2 linked regions of the Neurospora crassa OR74A genome follow. The protein of the gene in region 1 interacts with the protein of each later gene in a pairwise test. Links are inferred from orthologs where the notes say so. Each region holds a gene or a part of one and is shown on either strand. Other genes may lie near its edges.

The links.
Region 2: the proteins of pcb-7 (region 1) and pcb-5 interact in binary tests that used the Saccharomyces cerevisiae proteins (3 or more experiments, as listed by UniProt). The link is inferred for Neurospora crassa OR74A from reciprocal best matches to the Saccharomyces cerevisiae genes PRE4 and PRE2.

Annotation. Positions count from the first base shown.
Region 1 is NC_026501.1:6,208,413-6,211,989, forward strand, and holds pcb-7 (20S proteasome subunit), read right to left. Parts: upstream 2,013-3,577; 5' UTR 1,782-2,012; coding exon 1,752-1,781; intron 1,648-1,751; coding exon 1,500-1,647; intron 1,430-1,499; coding exon 801-1,429; 3' UTR 504-800; downstream 1-503. Other genes in the region: gfa1 (glucosamine-fructose-6-phosphate aminotransferase), read left to right, coding at 1-123; NCU07364 (hypothetical protein), read left to right, coding at 2,415-2,480, 2,547-2,598, 2,671-3,577. UniProt on the Saccharomyces cerevisiae protein: Non-catalytic component of the proteasome which degrades poly-ubiquitinated proteins in the cytoplasm and in the nucleus. It is essential for the regulated turnover of proteins and for the removal of misfolded proteins.
Region 2 is NC_026501.1:4,303,156-4,306,949, reverse strand, and holds pcb-5 (proteasome component PRE2), read right to left. Parts: upstream 2,319-3,794; 5' UTR 2,076-2,318; coding exon 1,941-2,075; intron 1,732-1,940; coding exon 991-1,731; 3' UTR 615-990; downstream 1-614. Other genes in the region: NCU09308 (glycoprotease), read left to right, coding at 1-462; NCU09310 (protein phosphatase type 1 complex subunit Hex2/Reg1), read right to left, coding at 3,647-3,794.

The sequences.
Region 1 (3,577 bases):
GACTGCCTTCAGGGTATCTTGAACGTCATTCCTCTGCAGTTGATCGCCTATTGGTTGGCCGTTATGGAGGGCCTCAATGTCGACTTCCCCCGAAACCTTGCCAAGTCGGTGACTGTGGAGTAAGGGATAAATGAACGGGGTTGTCGAGCGATCAACTTGTGCATGAAGAGACGTACGAGACAAGGAAGACAGGTCTTCTGTTGATGTGCGGATTTTTGATATACCTATTTGTAATATACATCGTGCTTTGGTCTAGGTGGGCGTGGTGGAGTATTCTTGCTGGCTGGGAAGCACATCAACATCTGACCTGAAAGGAAAGGAAGAAGGAAAAGGCGAAAAGCCAAGGTGCGTCGGAGAGGTTGAAAGTCAAATGCAAATCAAGGGAGTCGGTGGGATGGAACAAATGGATTCCGGGATATTGTGCTCATGGCTTGAAGCGTTACTTGTTACTTGATCTATTCGTCACATTCAGGGACGATGTGATGGACTGTGATTAAGGAGTTTAGCTAGTAACAGTAATGATATTACTATCTTGCTAATGTACTTGCGAAAGGAGTTGAATCCGTTTCTGCTCATGAAGACACGCGTGTTGCACAGTTTAAGGGAAGAAAGTTGACCGTAGTGGGAGCCGGATAGACAAGCCAATGCCATGTTGTGATAGCGTGTCAATTCCCATACTCCGGAATAGCAAACGGACACGATGTCTTCGGCGTATGACCCTCTATTCGTTTGAGTTCATGATGTTCCCCTAGGTCTCATTATCCTACCCTCATTCTACACGGTGCTATCTATAGACCACCTCAAACAGTCTGAGTACCATATCCCTTGATCCGCTCAGCAAAAGCCCAGCTCTGCTTCTCCAGCTGCTCATCCTCCTTCAGCTCGACGCCATCCTTCGTCACAACCGCAATGCTGTACCGATCCAAGCTCCTCGCGTCGCGATAATACAGCACCTTCATGCACTCCTTGATAACCTCAACGGCTTGCTCGCGCGTCAACTTGGCCGCATCCTCCTCCGTCTCCGCATACCGACGCATGATGGGCTGCGCCAGCGCGCTTCCGAAACCCGTCGCCAGGGATGGAGAAGTGAAAGAAGTGCCGCGCAGGTCAACGCTGGCCAGGTAGGGCTTGGAGTGGCCGTCGAAACCGGCGATCAGAAGCTGGTTCCAAAGCGGGTCGAAATCGTTGCGCCGCTTGTAGAGGAGTTTTTGCAGATACTTGTGCAGGTTGGCGGCGTTGAGGTGACCCTTGCCGTTGGGAGCAGCAGTGCACGAGGGGTCCTCGTACGCTTCATCGATGGAGAGGTCCGTCAGGTGCCGGTCGAGGAATTGCATGTCGGATACGTCGCCGGAAAAGCCGACGACGGAGGAGTCGAGGAAGACGCGGAGGCGCTTGACGTCGGGGAAGCGGGCTAGGGAGCCATAGGAGGCTGTTTTCCAGAACAAGTCAGCACGGGGTGATATGGGATGGGTGTCATTTGATTTTTTTTCGGAGCATACCAAGGTTATCCGCGGCCATAACTACACCGTCCTTGTACTTCATTGCAATGACGGAGGTACCCGTCACGATGGGTGCTTGTGTCGCCTGCTTCGGGCCGCTGTTCTGGAGGTAGGAATGGTCATAGGCGCCGTAGACATCGTCTCTGGGCTGCAGGTGCCGTGAAGCAGTATGTTAGTTCCATGCCATTCATGTTCGGTCGAGATATGTATAAGCGCTGCTGCGACAGCGGGCGGAGGGGGTTGAGGACGTACACGACCCCAAGCTTGCGGGCGGTGATCCATGGTCAACTAGAGTTGGGAATCGAGAATGATCTGAATGCGGGGTATCGTTTCGTAAACAAGAGACGTCGACGAAATAGTAGAAGTCGGTCGCTGTTCGTGAATGTATAGCGCTCGCTGAGAAAGTGTTATCGTTGGTTGTTGAATATGGACAAGATAGGTATCGATAGAATGGTTCGTTTCGTTTGGGATGATGGTGTTGACGTGGGGAGCTTCCGCCTGGTTGGCTTGACGTTACGGCTGGAGGAGCTGGCAGTGGCAGGCTGCGCCATCCAGTAAGCTCCATCCCCTGCCCCCGCCTGCAGCTTCGCGTCCAGGTGCTGCCTTCACTCCCGCTGTCCACTGTTGGGCTTGGCTTGGCGTCACTGCCTCCAGTCCGCTTCCATGCAAACAGTGGAGTCTTGGCTCAGAGGGTAGTGTACAGTAGTGTAGAGGTAGGCGTGGGTCCGAGCGTCTTGAATGTTTTGAACTTGGGTCCAGGCTTGGCCTTGAGCCTCCTATCAGCACGTGACACCCTTCATCTCGAACCTAATGACCACTCTCTGTACTCATCAAAAACGGCGCCCTTTTGATTCCTAGGGCTTCTTACATCCATTGATCTGGATTTTCCATGTTAACATTAAATCAAGCACAATAATGGGGCTTGTAGCGTACGACAGCAGTGACGAGGATGAGGATGTCCAAGTTGACACCCCAACTGTGGTAAGAATATGGATAGCTCTTAGCATACAAATCATGTGTTGTTCACCAGCTGACAAGGTTTCATAGCCACATAACACCAAGAACGACATATCTTCACATGCATCACGAAGCAATGCCGGTACGGCCCCTCATGCTCAAGTCAATTTTCGCGTTATAAGCCCGACAACTAAATGAGATGTCCCTTTGCCAGTCGCGGACCCATCCACAGTAACGAGATCATCACCAACGAGTACAAACGGTCACAACGAGATATCAGCGCCACAGCAACGACAACGACAACCAGCCCCCTCGCCATCAACACCCGTAGGCCCTGTACTCGGGCCAGCTCTCGGCCCCTCAATGCCCCCTCCTACGGGAGTCGCCTCATCCAACACCCTCCTCCCCGAGCCCGACTCCGACATCGACATGTCTTTCCTCAACGACCCTTCCACTTCCTCCACCGCCTTAGCATCTGGACCTTCAGCAGAACCCCCCAAATCCCCTTACACCACAACCCGCACCTTGCTTCGGGACCTCACCCTCCCCGCCCTGCCAAACATGGACATCCCGGCCTCCCCTCCCCTTTCACCTTCTGATATCTCTTCGGTGGAACGGTTGTCCGCTTTAACCAGCAAATTCGACAAGTTCCTGGAACTGAAGCGCAACAAAGGACAGCATTTCAACTCGCGCATCGCGCAGAGCGCTGCTACAAAGAATCCGGGATTGATGGATAAGTTGATGAGGTTCGTGGGGGTTGAGACGGAGGTTTGGTTTGATGATGATGATGATGATGATCACAACGATGGTCACGACGGGAACCTCAAGCCCCTTGAGAGGGACGTCTCCTTGAAGGATGGCAATGGCACAGAAGTAGTAGCAACGCCCGCGCCGGCTGGGGCAGAGCAATACGCCACCACCTTGTCCAAGGAGGTTTGGGATCCGACTGCGATGCCGGGGTGGGCGTACAGAGATCGGCTGCGTAAGACGCAGGAGAGGATGCAGAAGGAGAGCGAGAGGAAGAAAGGGGAGAGAGTGGAGTTTGTTAGTGGAGGATCCACGGCGATGACGGGTAGTGGAACAGCGAGTAGGACGGGGAGCGCGACGCCGCTGGGGAGTGT
Region 2 (3,794 bases), about 1.9 Mb from region 1:
CCCGACTCTTCCACCACTATTCTCTCCCCCGCCCTCAAAGAGGAAGACCACCAGATTGAGCAGCGCCGCTACCTAGCTCGCGCGACGATGCAGCTAGCCTTTGAGCACCTCGCCTCGCGCATTGTCATGGTGCTCCAGCAGCAGGCCAAGACGTCGTGCGAGCAGCAAAAGGTCAAGACGCTCGTGGTATCGGGTGGCGTGGCGAGCAACCAGTTTCTGAGGCACGTTCTCCGTCGCGTGTTGGAGGTGCGTGGATTCGGACACATTCGGATTATGGCTCCGCCTGTAAACCTGTGTACGGACAACGCGGCCATGATTGCGTGGACGGGGTCGGAGATGTACAGGGCGGGTTGGGTGAGCAAATTGGATATGTTGCCAATTAAGAAGTGGAGCATGAGTTCGACCGGCGAGCAGGGCGGGATCCTGGGAACGGAAGAGAAACCTTTTTATGTGAGGCGTTGAGCCGCGGCCGTACGGGCAGGATTAACTGGGAGTATCGCGACTGCTAGGTTGAGAAAGAACACATGATGTGTGCATGGGTGATGGGTGTTTGGGGCGCTAGTGTACTTTGCCATCTCTTGTGTATTAACAGTTCATCTGTATGAAAGCAGCAGTCAGAAGCGTAAAATGTATTATTATTATTATTGATATGGATACAGCTCGGTGGAAAGGGGCTATCAAGCGTGCTTTCTAGACTTGGGACGTCAGGGCTTTGATTGCTTCTGATCGATCACCCTTCTTGTACAATGTTTTCACATACGTATAAAGTAGGCATACGGCCTGGTCGAGCTGATTCATTCCAATGTCGCATTGGCTGTAAGAATCTAGAATGCTATGGGGACCCATTCGTTGCTCATATCGTTTCTTCATCATGTGTATGTAGTATGCTGCTGGCCAAGTGCCCCTGCCTCACTGACATCCGTCCATTCAGTCCAGGGCAGTCAAGCCACAATCACTACTTTCTGTCCCTCTTTCAGTCCTCTTCCTCTTTTAAACGCGGGTCGAATCATCCTCATTGAAGTCGCTGGTGACGTTGCTAAACTCGCCCTTCTCCAGCTTGGTCCTCCAGAAGATGGGGTTTGTGTCGTTGAAGCCGTGCTTCTCCCATCCCGACTCCTTGACGTGGTACAAGTTGATGAAGCCACCAGAGTAAGCATCACGATGTGTAGCGGCCAAAATGCTCCTGCTGCCCAGTTCGAGCGCCTCCTCCACCGTCAGGTCGTATCTATACTCGGCATCCAGGACGCCATAGGCAAAAGTCTGACCAGACCCAACGCAGAACAGGTTACCCGCCAGCCGGGTGCCGTCCGAATCGATGTAGTAAAGCGCAGGTCCTTCCTCCTTGGTGACGCCGGCGCACATGGTGCCCATGGACAGGCCCATGCCCTTGTACTGGTACACCAGGTTGGCCAGGATCTTGGAGGCCGCCGCGACGCTGATGCGGCGCTTGTGCCGCAATTCGTGAAGTCGGCACTGCATGCCCAGCCACGCCAGCCAGTACTGGCAGTCGGCGGCGCCGCCCGCCATGGTGCCCAACAAGTCGCTGTTGATCTCGATCACCTTCTTGACTGTTTGCGAGGCGATCCAGTTGCCGGCGGTTGCGCGAGAGTCCGTCGCCACAATGATACCGCCCTGGAACCGGAAGGCGAGTGTGGTCGTGCCGTGGGCGATCTTGATGGGGCACGAAGGGTTGGCGCGGTCGTCGGTTGCGGCGCGGAGCCAGGAGGAGGGCTGTTGTGGGTAAACAAGTTAGCCTATTGTCATATCATCATCATCATCATCATCGTTACTGTTGTCGTCGTCGTTGTGGCTCGTTCATCGACGGGGTCTAGCTAGCTAGCTAGCTAGGATGGGGCAAGCAGGGAGAGAGATGAGGTCGGAGGGGTACTGAGGGAGATGTACTGAGGAGGGGGAGATCAGGCAGACAAGGAAAGACGAACATGAGCTACTGGAGGCATGGCAAACTTGAGAGACAGAGGAGGCTGGGTTTCGCAAAGATCTTGCTGTTCCTCTTCCGAGAAGAGCTCATTCTGCTGGTAAGCCGGACGGCTGTACCTTGCGACAAGCGCATCCATGATGGTCGACTAAGTTGTTTGAAGGGACGAGGATTCGATGTTCGGTATGCGGTTCGGCAGTTCCCAAAGACGGTTCGGGAAGCTATAGATTGTTGCGAGGGGGAGAGACGTTCGGCGGGAGGACGACGGAAGTTGGACAACTGGTTGAGATGATGGTGGTGACGATGTTGAGGTTCGAATGGGCTGTCAGTGGAGGCGTTCGTTCACTGTTGTTAGCCTGGCAAGGTAGCAGCTATGGCGGCGTCAGCGGCAGTGGGTAGCAAGTGAAAGGCGGGCAGTTTGGAGCTCCCTACACGCAGGTGCCCACCAACCAGGCAGCTCCCACGCACGCGTTCACCAGCTTCCAGGTTGGGCGGCGCCGCCAGCTGGCAGCATATCAGGGAGGTATCTTTGTACTTTCTTGGCGGCATCGAATGTCGTTTTGGATGGTATGGTATCGATGTACCTCTAATATCAGCATTTCATAATGAACTACTAGCGAGCCAGGTTACACACCGATGGGACTGCAGTTCGGAATATGCTAGGTTCTGACTGAGCATCTTTGTTAACCACTATGCACAGGATGTACAGTGGCGTTTTCAATTACTATGAGCCACATGTATAACCCTCACTTTCGACCAAGTACCGGTCATAAGAATGCCTCCACCATTTTTTTGCGCCGCCGTGACATGGATAGGAGTATGAATGTTAACATGAGCTGATTTGTAAGATAGGACCAGACACACTCTTTTTTTTTCCTTTTGGTTTCTCCGTCCAACGCCATGGAAATGCATCCGGCGCTCGAACGCCACCCTCAAGTCCTGAGAGCTGAATTCCTAACCATATCGACTTCACTTTTCCGCCTGAGGGCAAGGCGTACTATCCAAGGGTCAAAGAGCAAATGCCGTTGTTCTCCCCTCTGCAGATTTTTGTCTTCCCCCAACACCAGAGCAAAGCCAAGTAAGAATTCCAAAAGCCTGCGGTATAAGCCTCCTCAACCCGTTACCGGAAACCCGAAACCAAGCCGAACCAAGCCTATACGTCAGACATGAAGCAAGACACAACTTGAAAAATGGTATTGATTGTTTGACGATCGATGTGACGAAGACCTAGTGCACCCCTCCCTGCGCCAGGCTCTCCCCCTGCCAACCCTGAACCGGGTGGTTTTGAAAAACAAAATGGTAGGAAGGAGGAATAAAAGAAAAAAGAAAAAAAAAAAAAAAAACCCAAGTACCATTAATGTAACCCTATAACACCATGGCAATGCATGCTTTCGCGTTGTCGTGATCAATGCAACCGGAAGGCCCCTCAAAGACCTTCCGGGGTATATCTGCGGTTGTTGCCGCTTCGAGATAATAATGTAGGCAGGTCGTCGTGGTGGTCGTTGTTGCGGATCCACTTTTGCGTGCCATGCTCTGGCATCAGATGCGATGTTTGGATAGTAGCCCATCGAGCGGAATTATTTTGTGTGATTGTTCTTCAAATTGAAAAAACTTCAGCCGAGTCGAAATCGTTGTGTGTTCAAGTTATTCGCCGTGGCCTCCTTCTGAAAAATGGATTGGTTAATAAGAGTTGTCTAGCCAAGTGGTAGATTATCTCTTCCACCCAACGTTCCAGATAACGTGGACTATGTCCCGGGCCGTATTTACCGTATCAATGACCCGGCCTAAAAGGCCTTCACTGTTGGAGTCTTCGCCTTGTTCATATGGCATGAACATGCCCGACTCGGTTCTCCTCATG